Linked DNA regions of Bombyx mori. Each later gene encodes a partner of the first gene's protein in a complex. Links are inferred from orthologs where the notes say so. Each region holds a gene or a part of one and is shown in the gene's direction. Other genes may lie near its edges. The genes, in order: THO complex subunit 5 homolog, THO complex subunit 7 homolog and THO complex subunit 6.

Region 1 (7,259 bases):
TGCGTAGATGGGTGAACTAGCTCACAGCCCAGCTGGTTTTAAGTGGTAAAATAACAACCTTGAGGCATTAGTTCTAAGTCTCAATTTATAGTATAATGGCTGCCCCACCTTACGAATAGAAATGCTTTACGCCTTCACGGCATATATAGCAGGAAGACTGGTGGTACCTATCCATTCTGACTTACAAGAAGTCCTACCACTAATAATTTAAAAAATTAAATTACCTGTAGGGAAAATCATGAATTCCTGCATGGCAAGTTTATTTCCAGCATGTGATCCTCCATTGATCACATTGAATGCTGGTACAGGTAGAACAATGTCATTATTTCCAGCCAAATCAGCCAAGTGCTTGTACAGCGGAACATTCTTCTTGGCAGCACCAGCCTTAGCAACAGCTAGGGAAACTCCAAGGATAGCATTAGCACCCAGTTTGGATTTGTTCTCAGTGCCATCCAACTTAAGCATGAGTTCATCAATCTGTTAATTTAAAAGGTTTACATAGCTGACATATACTTTTTTAAATATATTTAATATTATTTTTAAACTATTAAATACATTTCTTGTTAATATGAAAATCCTATCAATATTAATTCCACTTCAATTGAATGTTAATACCACACTCAAGTTTTTTTTGAGTCCTTTCGAAATATCTACTCTTGTTTGAGATTTAAAAATAATTACCTCTCTCTGTTGGGTTACTTCGAGGTTGGCTTTTGTAAGTTCAGGAGCAATGAGTTCATTGATATTTTTGATTGCGGTCAAAACTCCCTTGCCATGATATTCACTCTTGATGTTATCTCTTAGTTCAAGAGCTTCATGAACACCAGTGGATGCACCAGAGGGTACAGCTGCCCGGAACAAGCCAAGCTCTGTTACCTGTTCACAGAATTAAAAGGTACTTTACATTTTTCAAAGAATTTCAGTAATTTAGTTGTTGATAATTTGTAACAAAAAACTTACCAGATCAACTTCCACAGTAGGGTTGCCACGAGAGTCAAAGATTTGACGAGCCTTGATTGATTTTATTACCATTTTTAATACTGAACTAGACTTTCTAGAAAAAAAAAAATTTTTCATTTTATTTGGAGAGCACTGGCAGTAGTTTAGAAGTCATCATGCCCCATCAACATGGTTAAGACACTTAAAGTATACCGGTATATCTATCTTGATAAAAGGACAAATGACTTTGTCCAATTTACAAAAATAAAAGATGTGTAAAATTGATGGAAATTTTGAATTTTCATTTAGTTCAGAAAAAAACTTGCAATCTCAATCTCAAAAAACTAATTTTTAATAGATCCTAAAGGTTAAATCAATACAAAATTACTATTTTATTGTATTTCTATATAATGCTTAGTATATGTGAATTTTAGATTTGGCAATTTAGTTTCAATTTTTTCAGATATCTTTTTTGTTCATCTGTTGATAGAAATGTATGGGACAAGTCATTAAATTGAAAGTATGATTTAAACCCAGTGACCTCAGGATCATCAGCCCACAGAAATTTACTGCTGTATATAAGCAAGGTTTACCACAATGACTGGTCTTACATAGCCCACATCCAGCAATTTACGCAACCTTTAAAATCTTAGACATAGAACCACCGAGACCTAAAATACAACCACCAATTTCCCATTTAGGATCTTGACACTCTTATTTGCTTAATAAAACACCCCATTATTTCAACTTATTACTACTTCTGATTTCCAAAGCACACAGCCTAGTCACGAGACTTACCTTGAATACTGCAAAAAGATTTATTGTATCGATTGAGGGTATTAAAGGATTAATTCTATTACTTTTACTTCTATTGCTAACGCTAATCGAATGAGATGCGCCGGCAAGGTCAAACATAGGTTGTACAATCATAATTCCTACTTTAAAATATTTTTTGATTTAAAATGTTTATTACAAATTCATTGCGCTCACGGGGTTTAAGAATTAGTCATTTTCAACGGATACAATGAAATTTACGTAAAATTGGATGGCTAATGATCGGCATCTAATTTTTTTGTATTGAAAATTTTTGCACTACTCCACTTTTTTGTAATCCATACACATCATAATAATAATAAATTACAAACCTTAAATTAAGCGATATCCTTATTTAACAAAATTGCACCTTACAAGCCGGGTTTGGCAAAATATAAGGATTTGGTTGCTGGCGCGATTACAGCAGTGATATTTTTGACCTTCTCAAGGTGGAAAGCAAAAACAAATGTCCTTTGTTTTGTGTACTTAAAGAGGCAAAGGGATCATAGTCATTTTATATAAAATAAACTAGATAACTAATCAACTGGGATGAAATTAAATGAAATGAGATGATATGGGATGAAATATTTATGATCTCAGTAAAATGGTGGTCATTTACTGAGATTCTTTCAGTGGACTTTTTGGAGGATCCCGAGGAGTTACGTCTAGCGACTTTGTTTCATTTTCCCACATTTGTGCCCTTTCGCAAATACTAAACAGGTAATAAACCACCATTATCATACATTCAAACCTGAAGAAATACCAAATAGACAAAATAAAACATATCACACAGCTTCACTCCTCGCATTCCCGCCAAAAAGTCGAAATCTATGAGCTGAGAGATGCACACATAGATTATCACATAGGTAATATTTGAGGATGCTTAACTGACATTTACTGACATTTATGGAGAGTTGCTATTGCTGAGTAGACGTGCGCTAATCATGTTCGGAACTGGATTGAACATGACATCGTTCTTTTGAGTGTCGGAACTAGTTCCAGTAAACATGTTCGCGGAACTGTTTAGTTTCACGAACATGTTAAGTCTAGTAGCTGTTTGTAGTTTGTAGCTGTTTAGTTCCGCGGACATATTAAGTCTAGTAGCTGTTTGAAGCTGTTTAGTTCCGCGGACATGTTAAGTCTAGTAACTGTTTGTAGTGTAGCGAATCACGTATTAAGTTATTATTAATTACACAATATTTTTCAAAAAAGGTATTAAAAATACAATTTTTTAAAAGCACTATATAAAAATAGATTGCCGCTTATGGCAATTATTATTGTAATATTATTTTGTAAGGTTTTTAGTTTTAGGTTCATTGTTACAGCTGGTTGCATAATTTATTAATGTACTGTAATTACTTTGTCATAATTTCAACTACTCTACTACTTTCATTATTTTTCAATGTAGGTATTGTACGATGCACCGAAAACTATAACCTATCAGTTGTTAATTAAAATACCACGTTATTCTGATATACAACGTAAATTGAGCTCGTTGTAGCCTTACAACCTTTTTCCCATAACCGAGATACCGAATAGCGAAAGTGGTGAATGTTTTAAAATTCTCGAATTTTGAATTATGATTTTCTAAGAAATGGTCTACAAACACTTAAGGTTAAGTGCTCGTAGGAATGATGCATGGTCAAGGTCAAAATCCATAGCAAAACATTTTAATTTATTCAACTATCGACTGTAACACGTAGGTCGTAGAGCATAACTTCAATATTAATAAAAATGTAATATGAAAGAGCTCCACACGCAGTTTCATGCACTCGCTCCATCTCACTCTCTCGTATTCGTGCCATATGTCGCCTTATCTCTTTACGTGGACTCGTGTCGGTTCGAGACTCGTTCGGGTGGACTCGCCGCGCCACGCCTCCGCGCCGCGCGGTACCTATGCTCTAATCATGTCCGCATGTCCGTCATGTTCAACGCGTTCGTAGTTCCTGCATAACAGTACACTTGGAATGGAAATGGAACTGTCTGAACATGTTAATTTTGACAACTCGGATTGAATGATATAGTTCCATATGAGGACATAGTTCCAGGAACTATTTAGGTCCGGAACTACGCATGTCTATTGCTGAGTAGGTACAATAATGAAGTATAATTTAAAAAAAATCATAGTTAAAGACTACCTTTCAAATTAAAGGCTAACATTAAAAGAAAAATAATTCAAACATTACCGTGAACGATGCTAGTAAAAGCTTTAATATATAAAAACAAATCCAGTGAATAGAGTGAATAGGCAGTAAGGTTGTAATTGTCTGTTTAAATTAGTGATTTTTTTAAAGTTCCAGACTTGGATGAAATCTGATAAACTTGAATAAAACTAAACATGGGAAAAGAAGAAGTAACGGCTGTTAAGAAACGGCGCAAATTAAATACAAGTACATCAAATGACGGAACAAAGCCAGTTCCCGTTGATGTATACAAGGTATTGACCAAAATATATAAGATGTAACATAACCTCAAGACTCATTATTCTGTACCATAAATATGTATAATAATGTAAATTTAAGTACATAGTTCTACTAATAAATGAGAATTTATATTTGTGGCTCCTGGTTTAGCAAGCTGTTGCTTTTATATTTTCTGTTGAAGTTTTTGTTTCAGTTTTAACTTATTATTAACAAAAATAAAAATTAAGTGAATCCTGTTCGTGAAATATCTTGTGATCTTCAAAACAAGTTTAATATTAACACTTAGAGAAGTTGTAAACTGAACAAGATCCCAGTACACCAAAAAAATTGTCTTTATTTTTCAAGATTCTTCATTCATTACAAAATGTGTTTTAAATGGATTGTTCCAGCGTGTTGTTGAATTTGAAGAAGCTGAAGCTCATCTGCGTCCAGCTGATAAGGATGCTGCCTTTTTCAATAAAACATGCCAAGACATAAGGCAACTTTTTAAAGAGATTGCAGAGTTAAAAACTAAAGAAACATTGGAGGTATGCCACTTTTCAATTAATAGTTAATGCAGGACATAATAAGAGTCGGGTCCTACCTCGAGAACAGGATGGCCGTGTGCACCGGGCACTGTGGGGCGGTGCTCCATTTTCCCGTCGAGCGTGGTGTCCCACAGGGGTCGGTCCTTGGCCCTCTCTTGTGGAATGTCGGCTACGAACTGGGTCCTGCGGGGTGCCCTTAGCACTCCTCTCCCGGGTCTGAGCGTAGCTTGTTACACGGACGACACTTTGGTCGTTACCCGGGGGAGGGACATCTTTCCTGTGTATGGGTGGCCTTCGTCGTCTGCAGGAGTATCGCGTTCTGACCCGGCAGGCTGGTTCTGGTCCAGCTGGGTATCCCGGAACACCAGCGGCATCGCCCGGGCGGCCTGGCAGGGCTGTCGTACCGCGGAGACCGGCTTCGTTGTCGTCGACTGTCGCATTGAGGACTCGTCGATCCGGCGTCTTCAGGGTGGCGTCGCGTGTCTGGTTGTAGTGTTGACTACCAGATCGTAAAGTCCCACACCCCCCTAGACGCGGGGACCTCGTAGGAGGTTCGGCACCCGGCTCGACAAATAAAAAAAAAAAATGGACATGATTAGATTATATTATGAATTGTAATTAATGTTAAATAATATAAAATATGGAACAATGCAATTAAGGCAAAAGTTATAATTACAGGCTAAAGAAAAGATAAATGCAAAAAGAGTGGAAGCTTCATTACTGCTGGTTGCGTTAAAGAAATTAAATCGCCTGGAGAAAGTACGAACTAGAGCTGGTCGTGATGCGCTCCATAAAGAGAAACAGAGAGTTGATTCCACACATTTACTGTTACAAAATTTACTTTACGAAGCAGATCACTTAAACAAAGAAGTAACTAAATGTTTACAATTCAAATCTAAAGATGAAGAAATAGATCTTGTGCCTCTTGAAGAATTCTATAAAAATGCACCTCCTGATATTATTAGATCAGTAAGTATGTTTTCACAGTGTGTAACTGATATCTGAATGTACATATTTTAACCGTTTCAGCTCTGAATATTTTTTTAGTTTTGTCCCTAAAATGCTGTAGGTAGCTAAAATCCTGAATTTCTTTTAAATATTGAAGCCAAACTTGAATTGCAATAATATAAACAGTTCAAAACATATACATGCACTCAGGACCAAGAGCTTACCTAAGTTTTTGGGCGATAGCATTGCATCCCAATTGTCATTTTATACATTAAAGCGCTATCGTGCTGAGTAGCATCATAACGGTTAGTAGAAAGTTAGGCATGACAGAAGTATGACTGCTTTTAATCTGTCCTGGTGAGGGTGCCAGTCATATGATTCACATTGTTTCCCCTTACAAATATACATATGACATATTCCACACATATCTCAGACACTTGATACTGAGTACTTGTAACTTTGATACTGATCAGATGAGTTGTTGCAGTAATGGTACTGACAAATTCAACAATATGACAATGTGTAAAATTTTAGGAGGTCACAAAGGCTGATGAACATCAATTACAATTAGCCCGACTGGAGTGGGAGTTACGTCAACGTCGTGAATTATCTGAAGCCTGTAATGAACTCATATCTTCCAAGGAACGAGTAGCAGCTGCCATTGCTGCTGCACGTTCTAGACTTGATGCATTGGCTCCACATCTGAAAGATGTCTTGAAATCCACTAAACCTTTGCAAGAATGTCTTGCTCTACGCTTGGATGAAAAACGTGATGAAGCCAGGGCCGCAAGCTTGCTTCCAGCATCACTATTCCTACTATTTAAAAATGCAAACGCATATTCTGATATTTTAGGAAGCAAAGTTATTAGTGTTGGTAAGCAATTTCAAAGCTCAAAATATTCATTGCATCTTAAAGTTCATAGATTTACATACCCAATTCAGCAGAGCAAAGGGTAAACAGTCGTCCTAAACACGCCATTTCGGATCCCCCGATCCACTATCGGTGCAGTTAGGTACCCCATGCATCGGTCATCGTTCTCGTCAAACCCGTCGCTTGCGACAAAGAGCTTACGGAGCAAATTAACCCTAAGACACAGCCCACTGAGTTTCTCGCCGGATCTTTTCAATAGGTCGCGTTTCCGATCCGGTGGTAGACAGCGAAGCAGGCCTGCTAGGGCTAGTGTTGGAAAACTCCTTAGGATAAAGTCCCATGAGCTCACCTTTTTTTTTTTTAACGCTGGGGAATCCATTTACGGATACCCGGTCGATGGGGGTAAGAGACCGGGTTATGTCGGACTCCGGCGCCTCCAGAGAAGAACAGGAAGAAGAAGAAGACAGGGGTCCTCCTCTTCTCCCAATTCCTGCCGGGAGATTACGCCTTGGGAAAGGCGCGCGAGGCACTGCACGGCGTCAGCCACGCAAGAGCTACCCCGCAAAACCGACTACCGACTAAACCCCATCGAGCCCCACCACTCCGACTCCACGAAACCCACGGTACCGCTCAGTGCGCGCCGAAGGGTCGCCGTCCCATGAGCTCACTTAGTCGCCCGGCGAAGCTGGCATACCACCGCGAGGCTACCAGCATATGAAGAAAAAAATCTTAATAGAA
Region 2 (6,528 bases), on another chromosome or scaffold:
CCAATCGGAGTAATTTGTCAGTATCTTTAATACCTAAATACATTTAATAGTGTTAGAGTTTTTCTAATTTCTTGTTTTTGTTTTGTCTGTGGGATTGATACTATTGCCAGGAAAAAATCTTGGCTTGAATCCAAATATAGAATATCAATGAGTCTTTATTCAAATTGATTTTTAAAAAGCAAAATAAGAATCTACAATAATAAAAATGTTTCACGTTTATGAAGCTACAGTAGCGTTTAGCGGTAGGCAGCGGCTTGGCTCTACCCCTGGCATTGCTGAAGTCCATGGGCGACGATAACCACTCACCATCAGGTGGGCCGTAAGCTCGTCTGCCTACGAGAGCAATAAAAAAAAGCTGCATTAGGAGGTATTTTATATTAATTAAAACTAACATTGACACATTATCTTGCGACTGAACTGAATCGTTGACGAGCTGGGGCAGACGTTCAGGGGGAGTTGGCTCTGGCGTCGACGTAGAGCGACTGCTGAATAGAAACACTCCAACCATCGCCAGTAAATATGATAGGAAATATAGAGCGTGGAACTGTAACAATATAATAATTATTCAATATAATTCAATATGCAATTTCGAAAAGGGCACATGTCAAATACGTTTTTTTTTATACACATGTAGTTTTGAGGCTTACCTACACCCATTTTATAATAATTCCCGTAATTTTTAATTGCTAATTAACACTAAAATATATCTCAAAAGTTAATATTTAAAATTTTACACTGCTTGAGAAAAGAATCAGTTTTTTTTTTCATTTCCTGAACATTTTACATTTTCAGAGATGTGCCCTTTTCAAAATTGCATATTCAATTAAACATCAATAACATGATTACTTTGCTCTGACTTTTTAAAACATTTATCTTATTTCACTAATAATCTATAATGTAGGGAAACTAGTGATTTTGATCCTGGGTGAATTGGAGGAATCATTTGACATTGCACGGCAGAGAAGTACTGGGTGTTCTGGTTTGATAAGATAGCCACTATTTTAAAGCAATTTCAAGTAAAATTCTCAAATGTAAATGGAGCAACATTTTTTGGCATTGTAGTATATAGTTTAACCATCTTTAACATACATTCATAACATACATATTATTGAATTCTTATCTAACACTAATTATAAATTAATATGGATAGTTAAACTTACCTTAAACTGAAATATATACATGCCAGCGATCACAGTGTAATAGTCAGCAGACAGGAATGATAGATGCAATAAAATAGACCCAGCATCTCTCAGCATAAAACATTGTAATATCTGGAATATTGTTTGTACTGTGCAGTAGCTTCCCAATTGCACAATCGTCTCTAACTCATACCAGTTAAAGTTCATCAATTCAAGGAATTCCAGAAAGAATGTTTGAGTGCAAGATACAAAGCTACCCACAATACCGAGGATCGCTAAATAGTCTGAGCATGTATGAGTTTTGAGCATCAGTTCTTGAAGCACTGTGACTGTTGCAAACAATAATGATCCACCAAGGCATAGCATATCGCCTACTAGTTGATTTTTACCTGAAAAATATCAAATTCATTTTCAGAATATTTTAACTTATTTCAGTAACTGCATGATTTAATAAAGGGTACACATGCATCAAATAAACACAACAAGTACTTCAATTACATTATTAATTACGACAAAAACATTGTAATACACAAAAAAATATTACTCCAATCAAAGTAATTAAATTATTTTCCAAGCAATTTAAAGTAATATTCAATTATGCTAGCAAAAGCTAGGACAACTTAAGTTGGCATTGCACTAGTATAACCTGGTAACCACTTTATAACAGTAACCACTCTACTGTGTGTTTATTGTCTAATTAGATTCACTCATCAGGGACATCAATAAAAATGTTACCAATCTACCTAAGAATGAAAGAATGTTACCATCAGTAGGAGCACCCTCAACATCAGCCCACACAACGCAGACTACAGCCATCAGGCCAAGGGTGGCTCCAGCAACATGAGAAACACCAAGTCTCTGACCACTCCAAGCACCACCGACCAGTGCTGCACCAACACCACTGCATGCTAACAGCTGTCAGCTCAACACTGATGTAAACCTCTGTGACATGACTAGCAGCCAGCCAGCTTCCACGTCAAGAACACAGGCAATGATGAGTACCCACCATCTTCTAACAACAAAATTCATTTCATTAGTTGCATTGCCCAATTAACTACTAAATATGGAATCTTTTATTGAAATGAAATACATGATTTCTATACCTAGGTATGTAATTATTTTTTTGTTTCATCTCTTTTTTAAGTAGAAATACTTGATTATTATTTAACATTTACTTTTTTATTTAACTATCTATTCAGACAGTCATCTTTGAATTGAACATTGAAAATTTAAAGGTTAATTAGGCCAGCTACCATTCCATTTCTTGTATTAATAAAGAAAAAAGCAAAACACACAACAGAATGCACAGAGCTTTCCAACATGTCACAGCTGATACTAGCTTGAATTAAGAAATGTTTTTATACTTTATTTTGCTGACTAATAAAAAGAGTAGAGCGGGAAGTTATCCCAAAGCAAAAGAATAAGAGAAAATTATCTCGATAAATGTAACATTTTATAGTTAGATTTAAATATTGGTTACTTCCACATTTGTAGTAAGAAGATATTAAGAAAACTTAGCGCACTCACCATTGAACATAAGATAGTAATAGTACCTAGTAAGTTTAATTATTTTAGTCTTGTCTTATACTTCTTTCAATAATAGAACTGGTTTAAAAGACGATATTTTTCATGTCTTAAAATTGAATTGGAACTTACTTCGTTAGCTTCTCCAGCCCGGTACAAAGTAGGCTCGGGGTAAAGAGTACAAACAGTACTAAATACGGCACGACCAGCTGCCCCGTGATAGGAAACTGCCAGGTTGCGCTTTGTAACATTGTTGTTAATATACATTTGCCGCTCAGAAATAAGGATAACACTTGACCAAGCAGTATGCTCCTCCACACTTTCCTGAAAATGCACACTTAGTTAGTTTAAGGACGTTTACCCAAAAAATATTTTATTTATTTATTTATTGATACTAGCCATCGCCCAAGTTCCGAGAAATAAATCTCGACTTTATCACTGAAACTTGACGTTTCCATTGTTTCAGTGAAAGATATTCCGAAAGTTTACTCAGCTAATTTACTGTTAAAATAGATTCAATAGTTTAAAGGGTTTAATATAGCAGTTATTCATCATTTCCTGAACAATGGATCGAAATTCGAAAGGCAAAACAACATGTGAATTGTGGTTGTGACATCTGTTTTTTTTTCTTGTTTGGCAGGCATCTCATAATAGTCTGTGGTTTTCTTTCGTCCATTGAATGAGCAAAGGGAAAATAGCCGATCAAAATCTTTTAATTAAAATAAAAAGGTTAAGCTTTGTGTTCTTAAAATCTTAAGAATTTAATCAGCGTTCAATTAAATTTTGAGATCTCAAGAAACCACGGTCAGCAATTTTGTTTCAATCAATTTTGACAGGAATGTGAAATAGTAAAGTTGTAATACTGTGTGAATGTTTTATTTAGTTTAGTTTTCTTCATCTTTAAATATAAAAATAGTTATCGTCTTATTTATATCATTTCATTTTTTATGCAACAGATATGATTTCAGGCTTTGTCGTAAAATATTTAGATAAAAAGAAGAGCATTTTTAACTTATGAGAATGTCTCCTTTGCCTATGAGTTGGATAAAAAAAACTTTTTTTTTATTAATAATTTAACCTGCCAAAATTTGGAGATAAAATATTTTTAATTTTTCTTGATTTTTGTAAATAAAACACACAAGTTAGCACTTACATATAAAGAACAAGGATAAATTTGAATTCGCTTATGATAAGATTATTTTGTAGAATAAAAACATTACCTAACAATTTATAAGGCAAACTCGGACGAGATCATAATTTCATTTGAATTTTACTCCAAACATAATGGGTGACGGTAAATAACTTTACCTAAGAATACAAAACTACTCAAAAACAAATACTATTTCAATACTCATTGGTTATTTCCAGAAGATGTGATTCGTAGAAGACTTCTGATCGACGGTGACGGTACTGGAGACGACAGGAGACTGAATGTACTTTTAAAAACTTTGATAAAATGGTGCAATACAACGGATGACAAACCGGAAGAAAGGTTGGTTTTAATAAATAGTACCGTATTAGGACGTATTGTGAGCTCACATGCGTAAACACTGTTCCACTTCCGAATTATCATAGCTTCCGCATTGATCATAGCTTCCAATTTGAAGGGTAGAATTGCCATTGTAAATTCAATTGAAACTTCTATCTCGTGTCCCAAAGGTTCTGGTAAGCATTTAATACCAGCAGGGAAATGTTGGCATCTGTTTATCTATAATAAAGAGCCTTAATATTCAATTAAGTGTTCATTAACCTTTTCATTTATTCCCCATATACATTTGTTGTTTTATTATGAGAATAAAAATCTGCAGTCAAAATGTAAGTTTTTGTAGTTCCAGAATATGTAATACGATTAAGATTTCTCGTTTTAGTAAAGCTACTCATGATCGTATGTTAGCTCAACTGGCACAATGCGAATTTGCTGTCACAAAATCGCAACTCGGTTCTGAAATGATGGCTGCTGAATTAAAAAGCTACGAAGCACTCTCGAAAATTCTAGAAAGCGGAATAGAGGTGGCCAAAGAGAACATACAGAAGAGCAAAACAGATTTAGCACAAGCAAAGACTGTCAGAAAAAACAGAATAGAATATGATGTCTTGGCTAAGGTTATCAGTGAACAGCCTGATCGTAAGGAAACCTCTGAGAGATTGAGCACTCTGAAGACTGAACTAGCAAACTTGGAAACCACCAAACAGCAATTGGAAAGTCGGTTAGCATTACGAAAGAAACAATTTCATGTGCTTGTAACTTCAATACATCAATTACAAGCATTATTAGATGAACTAGATGATGCAGAGACTATTTGTGATGATGTTGATATGAAAGAAATATCAAATGAATCATAATAATGAGTGATGTATTAGAGTATAAGATTATTTCTCTATGTGAGATTTCTAATAAAGTATGAATTTTCTACTTGATTTTTTGTTTACATTTTCAGTACTGTAAAATGGGGAGAATTGGGACACTTTTTAAGTTCGACATTGATTTGTATAGTTTTTTTTTGTTTTAGTAATAAAACGGAGATCATAATGGTTCTGGAGGCTTAAATATTTATATACAATGCGTTACTATACATTGTTCACTACAAAAATACACAAAAACTGAAAAAAATAGCTTGACCCCATTCACCTTGGCTTTGGGGTTGAATCAGGTTACGTAGGGGCCCGCGATCTGGACGGGACCTTCAGCCCGCAATGATTGCGTGCTGTGGGTCTCGTCTGCGGGGGAGATGCTGGACTTCCACCAGGCGCGTCCGTGGGTGGCGGATCACGGGATCCTCTGGGCGACATTCCCAGAGGTATGGTCCGATCTTTTTCGTTGCGAGGATTCTTAGGTTTAGGATTAGGTTTAGATGTAGGTTAAAGTCCTAGGTTTAGGATTAGGATAGTTTAGCTAGGCTTTGCCTGGTAGATCCTTTGTTGTTTTCATGACTTGTCCAAAAGTCACACTACATAGTGATCTAATGCAAACATTAAATTATGAATCGCAAATACCTTTTTTTTGTTTTAAATGGTTTCTATAAGGTTTACCTACGGTATGTAATCAAGTCGTGAAAGTGTTGTCACATCAAAAATCCCAGAAAATATCTGGTTGAAAGAAATAGCAAAAAATTTATAATAGAATACCAAACTTCCAATAAAAAAGCTAACCGGTGGTGATCGAGATATATGATTAATTGTTAAAAAGTGTTCCGTCGTTTGTGGTCTTTACAACGCCATAGGGACAGCCAAATGGCTACCATCCATTCAGAACTACAACCGCTTAACACTAGATAGATCGTAAATTCTTTGGACGATGTACACCAATAAATAGAAAACACGCCCTATTTAAGCAAACATTAAATGGTTTAAATTAATTTGTCATCAATAAAGTGCTTTATAATCGTCAGTAGACCGTGACCACTAAGGCTGTAAATCTTCGAAACATAGGAAATAGTATAATAACAGAAAAAAGTCAGATTAAACCTTAAAAGTAGTTGTAGTTGTGTCTGCGATTCGCGAAAACTTTTCTCTGCCTATTCGCTGAAAGCTTAAGAAGCTATTCCAGCTAAGTGCGGACGGTTCGGTGAGCTCACAGGCTCAATCCGAGAGAATTGGCTAACACTAGCTTTAGCAAGAGTAGTGCTTCGCTGAATTCACGACCTGATTGCGATCCATTGAGAAGGTCCGGCGAGAAACTCAGTGGGCTGTGTCTATGGGGCAAAAACTGAATAATATACTACAATTATTTCAAGGTGAAACAGCAGAGTTAGAGTAGTTAAGTTCGCAACAGACCTAATCTGTGTTGCGTGTCGAAAGCCTCATTAAGCGCAGGTACTAAGTAGGTATAGTATATGTAGTATATGTATAATATATTTATGTATAC
Region 3 (6,977 bases), on another chromosome or scaffold:
GTTTAATAGACTATATTAGATGATTTTCGACCTGCTCTTTTATGTACCTATAGTAGGCAACATAAAAATCATCAAAACCAACTAGCACACAACCTTGTGTAAGCCAGACACACATGGCTCTTTAAGTATTCAGAAACATGTAATATTCCGACTGGATCAAAGAATGTGACTCTAAATATTGATGATTATTGGTAGAGACTATCAATCAGCAGGTGACTCTTCATTCCTGTTTATAGCATTAGTTTATCTGGTTACATTGATTGCAGATTCAGAAGAGCAAAAAAAAATTGGCTCACTGGACACATTGGTGCCTTATTGGCTGACTCAGCGGCACAATGCATATGTCCCTGACTGCATGGCCAAAGATCATGGGTTTGATCAATTGAGGCAAACATTTGTCCCTGACTGCATGGCCAAGGATCATGGGTTTGATCAATTGAGGCAAGCATTTGCATAATTAATAAGTTTTGTTTTATGTTTAAGTGTTATTTGTATTTAGTTCAATACACTTTGTATAAATAGTCTTTAGTAGCCACAGCACTGGGAACTTTAGTTTGATGCTAAATGGCAATATGTGGTTTGTTATTGATTATAAATTTCTATGCAAAATAAATGTTTAAATAATTAGCAATTATGGCGGTATTTAAAATATTATACTTATTCCATACCTTTTCTATCCATATTCGTTGATTACTAACATTATCTGTGTAGCAGAACACATCTTTATGGCAAATTAAATGTTAGAATCAAACTTTAAAACTACAGTATTTTTGCCTAAGTTTGATGGCTATGAATAGAAGATTATGAAGTAGTAGTATAATTTCAATGAACAACAATACCATCATCCAAATATTGGCAATTGATAACAAACAAAAACTCACAGCACATAAAATTTCCTATGATTACCTACTGCTATCATCAGTTATTATAACTCATTAGTAATATTATTAGCAGACTGTCATAGTTGTTAAAGTAATCACGGTTTCCTTGAAATATGAAGAAAAAGCCTAATAATATGAATATTAAATTACCAAACAAAATTAAATTTAGAAAAAAAATATATAATAATTGGAAACCCTGAAAAAGGTAGCAAGAATTACAAAATAATGTTGATTTATAAAGCCCAACGTGTGCCAACCTCATATCATAAAAATTTAAGAGACCATCCCCGGAACAAATCTCCAATACCATGAATCCGATTTCTGTGTATTTGTTGTATTTATGCTAACTACTCACCCTTGTTCTTCCAGGCTATCTTCCAACTCTGCACACTTGACTTCAATCTTCCTTTTCCTCTCATGATCGAGTATTTCTCTATTTGGTTGTTTGTTTGACGCCGAATCCAACTTGGCGATCTCATCTTCAGTCCGGTAGTTGACGGAGTCTTTTGTTTTTCTTACCGTGGCCCAATTTCTCTGTACGTAGCCATTTGTACCGGAGCCCCGTGGCGTCGTCAACCCGATCCCATTATACATTATTTCGTATTATATACCTAAAACCAATCGTAACACTTACGGTGTGCAAATTGAAGGTTCTGAATTAGGCCACGAGATTAGAAACTCCCAGAAAAGTTAGTAAAATAATCTATAAATAACAATTTCTCTTTCAAAAAATGTATCAACGTTAATGATCAATAACTCACAATATTATTAGATTATATGTTTATGTTTAAAAAGAATTGAACACGACCATCTTGCTTGGTTTTGATTTTTTTAGATTGAATTATTCATAGACAACGAAATGGCTATGAATTTAGATGTTTCATTTTATCTATAGTTTTTAACTGACAATGACAAAGTCAAGCAAATCAATTGGAACTTTAGAATAACTTTTCTATTTTGAGATCGCTAAACAATAAGATAAAAAGCATAATTTTTGAATAAAAATAATACATGTAACATGATTTAATGAGTTTTCGGCAAACAAAATGAAATATATGAAAAGAAACTTAGGCAAATGTCAATAAAACCACAATATTTTTGTTTTAGATAAGAGTACATAATAATATAGTGTAATAAGAGTTTTAGTAAGAGTAAAGTGAAGTACCTATTTCATTTTATTAAAATGTTTCTAACCTATAATAGTAATGAGTCAATAAATTAATACGTGATTTATTAAGTTGATTTGTGGAAAGATAGCTTCGTCTATATAGCTTCCTTTGTTAAAAAAATAACCTTAGGTCTTACTAAATTTCTGTTCTTATACAGGGTGAATTTGCCTTAATTTTATCTCAATTCGTCATAAAGAGCTATAGAGCTAAATCATTTTGGTTTTTTAAAATAGAGCATGGACACTGTTCCCTTTGCCTAAAGAGTGTATGCCGCAAAAAAATCGCTGCATTCGAAATAGAGGTTATATGTAGCTTTAAATTGTGTTGTTTACCTATGGTTGTTTATGTTTCTTTTTCAATTAAAATATTGCATGGCATCTAGAAAAACTGACGAAGTAGTCTAGTTTCTGAGCAAACACAAAACTTTTACCATGTTGAATAAAATGTTGTATAACACTGTTTTATCTCAGACTTTATCGCCGTGTGGTAAATATTTAGTGGCCGGCAATATTTATGGAGATCTTGCTGTATTTGAGTATGTTATTTGTATTAAATTTATAGAAGTATATTTTAATATTTGGAGAGGTTTATAAATTCATTCTAAATTTTTGTTACAGCCTAGATCGTATTTTAAATCCAGTACTAGAATTATTATCTGTTGAATACAACAAACCAAAACATATACATTCTATAGATTCAAAAAAACAGATTTGTAGTCTAGTTTCAACGGAAAAATTCCTTATAATTGGTACCGTTAATGAAATATGCGGATGGGACTGGAAGGCTGTTGTTTCTGTTAAATTATCAAAACCTGTATGGAGCATAAAGATTCCTTCCCAAACTTTTTTGGACTACAACGATGTGAACTGCATGTGGCTATCTCAAGACAGTGAGAAGCTGTATGCTGGTTGTGGAGACAATAATGTGTATGTGTTTAATTTGGAAGATGGGAGCCTTATTTCAACTTATAAGGGACATAATAATTTTATTCATTCTATTCATGGAAAGTAAGTTGTTTGTTTGTTTATTTGCCTTATTTCAGCTGCTAATATATTTGCCCTGACAGTGATATACATATATGCTTATGGCTAATATTACAGTAATAAAGAAGTTATTTAAAAAAAAATTTCAGAAACCAACAGATTATTTCAGCAGGCGAAGATGGTTTGGTTATGCTTTGGGATACTAGAAGTGGAAAATCACACAATAAATTGGAACCGCACACTAATAATAAGGTCAGCAGACCTGATATTGGCAAGTGGATTGGCTCAGCAGCTCTTGGAGATGACTGGATTGTAAGTTCATCTATCATCAATCTAATTATTCATACATATTATCATTAAAATGCCAGAGGTGAAAATAAAAACAAAAATGAAAATCAGTGAAAAAATTATTTTTGTTTAATAGGGAATTTACATAATAATATTGTGACTGATATTTTTCTGTGTGTGTTGTAAAAGGCGATTTATTTTATTTAAAACCCTCTTAAGCCATCAATAGCATTCCTAAGGAAAGTTGTGTCGAAGTCGTTGTGGCCTAAAGGATAAGATGTCCGGTGCAATCATATCTAGCAATGCAACAATGTTAGAATCCCACAAGCCAGGTATCAATTTTTCTAATGAAATACGTACTTGACCAATGTTCACAATTGATTTCACGGTGAAGGAATAACATTGTGTAATGAAACTCAAACCTGCAAAATTATAATTTGCATAATTACTGGTGGTAAGACCTCTTGTGAGTCTGCACGGGTAGGTACCATCACCCTGTCTATTTCTGCAGTGAAGCAGTAATGTGTTTCGGTTTGAAGGGTGGGGTAGCCGTTGTAACTATACTGAGACCTTAGAACTTATATCTCAAGATGGATGGCGCATTTACATTGTAGAATTTTTTTTATTGCTTAGATTGTGGACGAGCTCACAGCTCACTTGGTGTTAAGTGGTTACTAGAGCCCATAGACATCTACAACGTACTGATGTCTATGGGCTCTGGTAACCACTTAACACCTGGGTGATAATTAATAATGGAATATATAAAAAATTTACAGGTATGCGGTGGTGGACCTCGATTGTCTCTGTGGCACCTTCGTTCATTAGATGCAGTGACAGTCTTTGACATTCCAGACAATGGGATTCATGTGTCATTCTTTCATGATGACTGTGTGTTTGCCGGTGGTACTTCTAAACATTTTTACCAAATGAGCTACTCGGGTGAGGTGAGAGTAGAACTACCAGTGTCTGCCACGACCATATACAGTGCGGTGCTAAGAACTAAATACAGCACCCTGTTAAGTTTAGCCGGTTCCAGTCCAGAAATAGATTTGTGCACGTCTCTTAATTACAAAGATCAAGTTTTACATTTTCGATAGTTATAAGCATATTTAGGTGGAAAAAATTAAATGAAATTAAATCGAGACCTAAGTTTTATTATATGAGTCGACTATTATCAAAGCCGGTAATGTGACTTTTGGAAAATTATTGGTAAATCAGAAAAATGAATTATTGACTTTGTATTCCATTGGTAGTCACAAAACTCTTATGAGCGACATCTTAGATAAATAACAGGTTAAGTATTAACCTTTATTTAATGCAGGTTTTGAACCGTATTCTTTGAAGGAGACTATTATATTCAAATCAATCTGTATTGACATATCAATAACATTTTTTTGTCCAAATGCACAGATTGCCACCTTTGATAATAGACGACTAATATACAGTATTTACTAATATTATGATAAGTTCAGTAAAATTTACTCTAGGATATTTAAATAACTTAATTTTTCATTTTCTCAGTCACCTGTACATATTTTGAGCTTTTAATGGACAATGTAAAATATGCATGTATGCAACATTAAAACATCAATAAAGTTTTTTGGATAACAATATTTAACCAATTGCGCCCAGTCGGTACTTGTGTAAATTATAGTTACTTGCTCCAGCCTCAAATTGAAACAGCTCATAAGTTCAATCGCCTCCTATTTACGTCTAATTGGTATCACTAGTTCGATTCCTTCATTGGACAAGCATTGTGTGATGAACAGGTTTGTTTGCTCTTAGTCTGGGTGTTTTATCTATCTAATATATAAAATTCTCGTGTCACAGTTTTCGTTGCCATACTCCTCCGAAACGGCTTGACCGATTTTGATGAAATTTTTTGTGCTTATCCGGTATCTATGAGAATCAGCCAACATCTATTTTTCATCCCCCTAAATGTTAGGGGTAGTCCACCCCTAAATTTTTTATTTTATTTTTTATACAAAATTTTTAATTTCTATTTTTTTATGATACAACATACAAAAATACATACAACCCTGAATTTTCACCCCTCTACGATCAACCCTTATTTTTATTTGCTAATTAAAAACTTTAAAAATTTTTGCGAGAATTTTGTTTTTATTTTGTCATGACGTAGAATAAAAAAATTCATTATACTCTGAAATTTTCACCCCTCTACGATCAACGTTTATAATGAAGTATTATGCGGTTAAATGAGGTTTTTTTTTCTACTGTAGAATTTCCCTAGAAATCTTATTTAAGGTAACACAAAGTTTGCCGGGTCAGCTAGTATATGTATATATTTAAACATACTCTTGGCGTGTTGCGAACAAACTGAGCGTTTTGATTGTATAAACAGTTTGTTGGAGTTTGTTGCGTTCATTATTGTAATCCAATTGTGATTTTTTTATTTTTTATTGCTTGGTTGGGTGGACGAGCTCACAGCCCACCTGGTGTTAAGTGGTTACTGGAGCCCATAAACATCCACAACGTAAGTGCGCCACCCACCTTGAGATTAAGTTCTAAGGTCCCAAATATACTTACAATGGCTGCCCCACCCTTCAAACCGAAACGCATTAATGCTTCACGGCAGAAATAGGCAGAGTGGTGGTACCTACTCGCGGACTCACAACAGGTCCTGCCACCAGTTCTGCCTGATCTGGTGCTAGATTGTGCCAAGCACTGCTCTTGCTCGGGCCAGTTTTAGTAAACCCCATAAACCTCACCTACCAGCCACAACGAAGCAGGAATAGCCTTTTAGGTTACCAACGAATACGTAGGGCATAAAATGCAATTCAGACTTCAACATTATAATATTTATGCGCTCCAATAATCGCTGGAGATAAATCGTTCGTGAACTTTTTTGAACGAAAAAAAAAAGAACATTGGTTTCGAAGCTTTTGTTGCATGCTTTCAATTTGAAATCGCGGTATGTCGCATAAATCCTTCAGAATTTTAGTGGTTGCACGAACTGAAGGTCGTATCGTATTCCTTTGGTTTCCACTTGTGGACATAGTTAAAACTAGTCTTACTCCAGTCCACGGACTACAGTCGTCCGTGGCCACGAAAAACGTCACGTATTCGAAATTTAAGAAATAGTATAATGAAAAATAAAAAAACGCGAGGTTAACAGTAGTTTTAATTATAAACTAAATGAAGATGTTATAGATACTGATCACGATCTAAACTTTGAGAATTTTCTGTATTAGATCGACAGATGAGCTAACAAATCGCCCATCGACATGGCGCCGAAGCGATGGAAATATCTTCTAGGATCATGCGCCCGAAGTGATGGAAATATCTTCTAGGATCAGGTCCTGGGTGTTTGCGTGGTACAACACCTCGGGAAGCCTGGGGCTTGCTAGACATTGTCACATTTCTACCTTAAGCTAGACGAGCTAGCTCTTCAAATGTACCCATGATCCGCTATAACCGCTGGTATGAACCCAAGACTTCCATCTTTCTTCTTAACGTAAAACCAATCGACATTTGTACTGGCACGCGCGCTGTTCTCGAGCACTACAACTTCACCTTTCTGCACGGTCACCGTTCTTTCCAAAACGTTACCTTTGTAATTACTATTGACGACCATCAGAGTTTGTCTTTTAACGTGCGAATTTTCGTGTCCATACTTTGAATTAAGCGAGCAAACA

The links.
Region 2: THO complex subunit 5 homolog (region 1) and THO complex subunit 7 homolog share a complex: the UniProt entries of both Drosophila melanogaster proteins name them as parts of the THO complex. The link is inferred for Bombyx mori from reciprocal best matches to the Drosophila melanogaster genes thoc5 and thoc7.
Region 3: THO complex subunit 5 homolog (region 1) and THO complex subunit 6 share a complex: the UniProt entries of both Drosophila melanogaster proteins name them as parts of the THO complex. The link is inferred for Bombyx mori from reciprocal best matches to the Drosophila melanogaster genes thoc5 and thoc6.

The regions. Positions count from the first base shown.
Region 1 is NC_085114.1:10,648,406-10,655,664, reverse strand, and holds the start of THO complex subunit 5 homolog, read left to right. Parts: upstream 1-2,611; 5' UTR 2,612-2,679; intron 2,680-2,698; exon of another isoform or gene 2,699-2,964; intron 2,965-3,341; exon of another isoform or gene 3,342-3,952; intron 3,953-4,032; exon of another isoform or gene 4,033-4,046; 5' UTR 4,047-4,090; coding exon 4,091-4,189; intron 4,190-4,564; coding exon 4,565-4,702; intron 4,703-5,380; coding exon 5,381-5,671; intron 5,672-6,184; coding exon 6,185-6,524; intron 6,525-7,259. UniProt on the Drosophila melanogaster protein: The THO complex is required for cell proliferation and for proper export of heat-shock mRNAs under heat stress.
Region 2 is NC_085129.1:4,005,536-4,012,063, forward strand, and holds THO complex subunit 7 homolog, read left to right. Parts: upstream 1-3,484; 5' UTR 3,485-3,947; coding exon 3,948-3,957; intron 3,958-4,031; coding exon 4,032-4,155; intron 4,156-4,531; coding exon 4,532-5,006; 3' UTR 5,007-5,081; downstream 5,082-6,528. Other genes in the region: solute carrier family 35 member F1, read right to left, coding at 393-544, 1,161-1,528, 1,904-1,955. UniProt on the Drosophila melanogaster protein: The THO complex is required for cell proliferation and for proper export of heat-shock mRNAs under heat stress.
Region 3 is NC_085116.1:3,181,642-3,188,618, reverse strand, and holds THO complex subunit 6, read left to right. Parts: upstream 1-2,304; 5' UTR 2,305-2,481; coding exon 2,482-2,585; intron 2,586-2,667; coding exon 2,668-3,057; intron 3,058-3,182; coding exon 3,183-3,345; intron 3,346-4,097; coding exon 4,098-4,418; 3' UTR 4,419-4,463; downstream 4,464-6,977. Other genes in the region: serine/arginine repetitive matrix protein 2, read right to left, coding at 1,237-1,475; uncharacterized protein LOC101736856, read right to left, coding at 6,731-6,977. UniProt on the Drosophila melanogaster protein: The THO complex is required for cell proliferation and for proper export of heat-shock mRNAs under heat stress.